2 linked regions of the Coturnix japonica genome follow. Each later gene encodes a partner of the first gene's protein in a complex. Links are inferred from orthologs where the notes say so. Each region holds a gene or a part of one and is shown in the gene's direction. Other genes may lie near its edges.

Region 1 (3,835 bases):
GTTTCTGATTCTACCTAGGTAGACACAACTCCTGCACAGTTTCTTGACCCTAATGTTTATGTGTGGGATGTTCACCAGACAAAGAAGTTAATTAAAGTGGATGGAGTTTTCGCCTCCAAACGCAAGCATCACTGTGTTGACTTCGCTGCCATCAGACTTCAGATCTCTCTCCTGCAGGAAATGCACGTCACTCACTTCCATTTTTCACTGAAATGGTCTTCAGTCCTTCCTTTAGGCAATCTCTCTCTAATCAACCACACACTTGTCCATTATTATCAGTGTTTTTGTAGTGAACTTCTCAGAGTTAATATAACTCCTGTTGTTGCTCTCTGGCAACCTATGGCTGAGAATCAAGAGCTTCCAACATCTCTTGCCAAATATGGAGCTTGGGAAAACTCAGAAACTGTTCAGGCTTTTGTTGAGTATGCAAAATTCAGCTTTGCAAGTCTTGGGGACCATGTGAAATTTTGGATCACAATGAATGAACCGTCTGTGAAAAACTTGACATACACTGCAGGACACAATCTGTTGAAAGCCCACGCAAAAGCATGGCATCTTTATGACAAAGAATTCAGGAGATCTCAGAAGGGTAAAATATCTATAGCTCTGCAAGCTGACTGGGTAGAACCAGCTTGTCCCTTTTCCAGGAATGACCAAGAAGTTGCTGACAGAATTTTAGAGTTTGACATTGGCTGGCTTGCAGAGCCCATCTTTGGCAACGGTGACTACCCACATGTGATGAGGGCATGGCTTCACCGGAGAAACAGCATTGACCTGTATAATTTCCACTTGCCTTCTTTCTCAGAAGATGAAAAGAAATTAATCCAGGGCTCATTTGATTTCTTTGCCTTAAGTCACTACACGACTACCCTTGTGGGCTGGGAGAGAGAAGATGCACTGAAATATGACCACTATCTTGAAGTTCAGATGATCAACGACATCACATGGCTGCACTCCCCCAGCAGAGCTGCAGTAGTGCCCTGGGGACTGCGTAGAATTCTCAGATGGGTTAAATCAAAGTATGGTGATGTCCCAGTTTATGTTATGGCTAATGGAATTGATGATGACCAGAATATTGTGCACGATAAGCTCAGAGTATATTACATACAGAATTACATCAATGAAGCCTTAAAAGGTAAGCTATCATAGGCAGCTTATATGCCACAAATACCACTTTCAGTGTTTATACTTTGTGAAAGATGATGTTTTAATTAAAAAAATAATAATAATAATGAAGCTTTGCTTAGAATACTCCATAAATTATTACACCTTAGTTTTTCCTCTTATTTACAACTGATTGTTGTTACTAAGCATAAGGACGACTGGCCTTGCTTGTATTCTACATAACCCTGCAGAACTTTTTGGTGGGTGCAAGAGCTTTAACTAGATGATGTTATGTGTGTGTAGTCTTATTTTCTTCCTGTTGCAATTCAACTGTTCTGTTTCTTTGTTGCTTCTCTTGTCACTGGTGTAATTCAGAGCTGGATGTGAGTTCTGTTCCTCAGCTGTCTCTGTATCTAATCCAGCAGTTATCTTGGCTCTTCATAACATTTCAGCTCTCTACCTCATATGCTGCTTCCTGGACTGTTTCCTGCTATTCAGAATTCAATCCAGTTGTTCTCTCTGTCTGAGAGGTTCATAAGTTATAAGGTAAAATGGAGGTATTTTGAGTCATCCTGTCACACAATGAAGATATTATTTAGAAAAACTCAAGACCTGGACAAGTTAATTTTTAATGGAGAATTTTCTACACTTCAATATAAGCTGTTTCAGTGTCAAGTTACTCGCCTTTTTCACATATATAACTATTAAAAACTTATTTCTAGTGTTAATTTCTTTGCCTTCAGCTTTCGGCAATTTTGCAATGCATTTCCATGTATTGGCTATCACAAGAAGAAAATAAGCCTCATCAAGCTGTAGGTGTCTCTGTTCATTGCAGGGAGTTGGACTAGATGACCCTTAAAGGTCCTTTCCAACTCAAACGATTCTATGGTTCTATAAGCCACCTTTTATTTAACTCTCTGGCAAATACTTCCAACAAAGCTCTTTGTGTCCCTTAGATAAAACATGATTTAGAATCTTTCAATTATTAAACATTTTCCTGCATGCCAGCATTCTTCATGAGATGTGTAAATTCCAGGTCTGGACATACTGTTCCTACCACAGCCACACCTGTAGATTAAGTGTGTATAATGTTACCTTTTACAATTTTACTCCTCTTTTGTAAATCCCAGAAGCCAATTAGCCCTTTTAGCAGCAGGTTGGTCACATGCAGTCTGTTGCTAACTGCTGTTATCTAGTCGTTAAAGGTTCCCTCCCCTCAGGTTGGAACTGTACTGAATTGTGGTGTTCCTCTATGCCATCCTTGTATTTATTCGTGTTCAAGTACCTCTAACCTACTTGTGAAAAACTAGCTACACTAGCGACGTCCCCAATCTTTGTGTTCTTTGCAAATTTTGTGAGAAATACCACTAAAAGATATAAAATATCTTAGTTGTAAAAGCTATTTTTCCATGACCACCTACTGGGACAATTAACTCTCTGTAATTATATATATAGACTTACCTGCTCTATTTTATGGGCCCACCTTGACCTCATAACATTTTATTTTCTTGATCCAAATGCCATATAATACCAAGTCAGTTGCCTTATGAAGTTGTAAGTATATCGCATCAAACATTACTTGTATTGATCTACTGATCTCATAAAAATGATGTCAAGTTAAGATGTCAAATTAGTTTGACAAGAGTTATTTTTCATAGAGCTAAGCTGATTGGCATTAATCATATGTATCTCCTGTAATTCTTATTTATCAAGCTTTGTATAATCTATCCCATTATTTTAGTAGGTAGTGAAGGATGGCTGGCAGTTCCATCATCGTGTCCACTGCATTAAGTGTTGGCTTTGATTTCCCTGTCCATAATTTCCACCTACTTTAGGAATTAGTCAGCATCCATACTAAGTGCCCCAGAGTTCCTTTGGCAACATTATGAAGTACTGGCTGCATGTTTTCTGCATCTGTAGTTAAAAACATATCTTAGTTGTATTTAGGCTTGTGGTTTCAATCTGTTTGGTTTGTTTGCTTTGTCTCCTTCCTAATACTGTAGGCTGTACCAGTTCTTGAGACGTCTCTAAGTGTGTGAATATGGGCCTTTCTCTCAGTTCCCATTAGTCTGCACATTATCCCATTGTTCACAGAACTTTGTCATTCATACAGCATCACTCAATTACTCCCCATCTCTTCCAAACATTCTGGAAATAGCTACTGTATTTTCCCACTAATAACATAATCCTTGTGTGCAAACCATATTTTCCAAGCTTTCTGCCTTCTTTGTCACAGATGAATATATCCCTGCTAACCAGTCACAATACTTCCCCAGAGCTCTGTCTTCCAAAGAGCTTTTTCACTCTCTGTTCTTCCCCTATACTGTCACTGTGCTTTTGTCCATCTTCTCCTTACACACATAACAAGCTTTTAACCTTGTCCCTCTGACTGACTCAATGTTTCTCCAGGACTTACTTTTTTTTCTGCAAGACAATCAGCACTCACTGAAAGGAAAAGTCTTTTGTCCTTGCATTGGGGTCATGCTAGTATCACCCTGAGTTTCCTGTTCTGCCTTCTTCCAGCTGGTCTCTGGGGCTGCGTATGGCAGCGCTGGCACATTGCTCTCCTGCATCATTCCAGAGGAGCCAATAGGTTTATGCAGATTAAACACTTCCAGGGTACAGTACAGAACTGTTTGGGCTGAGGCTGCATTTTTTTTTGTGTGTGTTTATGTTCATCTTTGCCAACTAAAAATAAAGAACAGCAATAACCATTTATGTGACAGCATTA
Region 2 (2,392 bases), about 89 Mb from region 1:
CCTCTTTGATTGCACTGAATTGTAGACCTGATAAAGAGTTCATCTGAGTTCCTGCTGGAATATATGAAAGCAGAAAGAGATCCAGTGAGATCTTGCAGACTTGCTACAGTATACATTCACAGTAGTTCAAGCAATGCAGCCCTCTGCTGAAACTAGTGTTGGCTCAATAACACTCCTGTTGAAAATTCAGACATTCGTACTGGATTAACATGAGTTGTCTGAGTTGCAGACCTGGAAGATCAGAAAACACCTTCTGCAATGTCTCATCTGTCTTTTTGTCTTTAACAGGTGCTTGTACTCCACCAAATCCCTTTGTTGACGTTTGTCTTTTTTTTTATTTTCTTTCCCTTCCCTAAGCATTATTTCAGCCAAGAGGACTGTGTGTTCAACCAAAGGACACTGGAAAATGGATATGATGTGTACCAATCTCCCAAACACAATTTTCTGGTTAGCTTGGGCAGAACTAAGCAAGTTTTCTTCCCTGGTATGAATCCACCACCGTACTCCCAGTTTTTGTCCAGGAGAAATGAAATCCCTTTGTTTCGATTCAACACACCTGAACCCCACAGAAACACTAGAAGTGCAGATGTCGATCCAATGGATCCTCACCAGATCCTGATCCCACAGAGAAAGGTCTCTGCATTAGATTCTCTGCTGCAGCTGCAAATGGACTTTTCCCATGTGCCCAGAGAACCCGTGAGAGTCAATCAGAATGATGTAGTCAACCCAGATGACCCACACGCTATGATGGATGCCAGGAGGTATGCTAGTCCTCGCTTCTACATTACAAGATGACGGCAACCACTTGCAAATTGATGACGCAGATGAATATAATAGACAGAAGTGCCTAAAACACTCAACCTGATTTCTAACCCTCAAGGTGGCTGCTAGAAACCTGAAGAACATTGACAAAAACCAATTTTCTTTCAAATTTTGTCCTTATGCATGACAGTTTACTGAAAAAGGGTGTTGCACTCTGCTCTACTGGAAAGAAGGTCCATTTTCAAAAAGAATAATATAAACAGAATATTTTACAGTCTGAAATACCTTTAGTATGCATAAGGAAAACAGAATTCACTTGAATGTAATGATGAACTAATTTTGTGTTACTGATGTATCTGGGGGAAGACATGAGCCCTGGAGGATTTGAAACGCCAGCAGGGGCAGAGAATCTTCTTACTAGCTCACGTGCAAGCACAGCAAGACTAACTTACCAACAGTGTGTTATATCATCATTTAAAACTTATTATATATATTTTTAGGCATTGAGATTGGAGCTTCAGTATCTTTTTGTGCCCATAGGAGTCAAGAAATGACAACTCTGGTATGAAAAAAACAACCAGTGCACAATGTAAACTGGAGTAGCTGACAGGGACCAAATGGTGTCGACAGTCATTTCTGACACCTATTGAACCCAAGCTGAGGTTTGGAAAAAAAGAGAAGTTGAGTCTCACCATTCTCTCAAGTCCTCTGTCATATCTCTCTATTCACTTAATTATAGCAACACAATATGGAAATATAATTCCCAGAGAGAAGTACCAGGATCAGTAGTATGCCAAAATGTTAGTTTATTTTGCACAGTGCTGAATTCTCTAGGAAAAAAAAATCCCCCCAAATTTATGCCTCATGGGCAAATTATTAATGGTTAATGCAGACACATCTAACGCATAAAAATTTATGCATCTATTTAGAAAAGGAGCGTCTAGGTTTGACATCAAAGCTTTTGTTTAATTCTAAGCAGATGACAGATGCTTTATGTCTGTAAGAGTGAAACGACTTTAATGTTATCAGATTTCTAAATGTTGACAAAACCTAGACATCTAGATTGACATATGTCATGTTATAACATAACATAAGTTAGTTACCAAAATGTAGCCTCCATGTATACATTCGAAGCTTACTGATCTTTAGCTAAGATAATTGCAGAGTTGAGATTTTCATAGTAATTTAGGTGAAAAGTGGTTAAATTCAGTATAGCTTCATCGATTTTACTGGAGCTACTTAGAGAATTCTGAATATTGTATACATATTTAGCACTTCTCCTTTATTTCATCAGCTTGTAGTCATATATTCCGGGAACTTTAAATAAGTGTGATTCTGAAAATATTCTTGATATACTCCAGCAGAAGTCAATAGCATTAGAAATCAACAGATGAAGAAAATTCCAGCATAGCAGATATATCTCTGTGTTTTTGATGTGTGTGCACTTTCTTTCAAGGTGCAGATTCTTCCATTTTATTCACTTAGCATGTTTAACAGCGTGACACCAATCTGAAAATGATATGTTTCATCCAACCTTTTTCATAGAAGTAGCACATAAGATGTCAGCTTAGATTCTAGTCTTCCTCTTCCTAGAATTTAAGTGAAGTAACTCACTGAAGCCACTGGAGTT

What was found.
Region 2: the proteins of KL (region 1) and FGF23 are in contact, whole or in part, in a cryo-EM structure (PDB 7YSH), measured with the Homo sapiens proteins. The link is inferred for Coturnix japonica from reciprocal best matches to the Homo sapiens genes KL and FGF23. Residues at the interface, in NP_004786.2 of Homo sapiens: Phe377, Lys385, Leu389, Glu390, Pro392, Trp417, Phe418, Ser420, Lys429, Tyr432, Tyr433, Lys436, Phe437, Arg468, Ser471, Ile472, Arg556, Arg693, Asn694, Met695, Thr696, Tyr697, Ile735, Val752, Phe755, Asp756, Asn782, Asn783, Leu785, Ile812; in NP_065689.1 of Homo sapiens: Leu39, Met74, Ala80, Val88, Arg91, Leu166, Ile167, Phe169, Asn170, Ile173, Arg175, His177, Asp184, Ser185, Glu186, Arg187, Asp188, Pro189, Leu190, Asn191, Val192, Leu193, Lys194, Pro195, Arg196, Ala197, Arg198, Met199, Thr200, Pro201.

The regions. Positions count from the first base shown.
Region 1 is NC_029516.1:155,888,735-155,892,569, reverse strand, and holds part of KL (klotho), read left to right. Parts: intron 1-18; coding exon 19-1,135; intron 1,136-3,835. UniProt on the Homo sapiens protein: May have weak glycosidase activity towards glucuronylated steroids. However, it lacks essential active site Glu residues at positions 239 and 872, suggesting it may be inactive as a glycosidase in vivo.
Region 2 is NC_029516.1:67,148,601-67,150,992, forward strand, and holds the end of FGF23 (fibroblast growth factor 23), read left to right. Parts: intron 1-357; coding exon 358-795; 3' UTR 796-1,598; downstream 1,599-2,392. UniProt on the Homo sapiens protein: Regulator of phosphate homeostasis. Inhibits renal tubular phosphate transport by reducing SLC34A1 levels. Up-regulates EGR1 expression in the presence of KL. Acts directly on the parathyroid to decrease PTH secretion. Regulator of vitamin-D metabolism.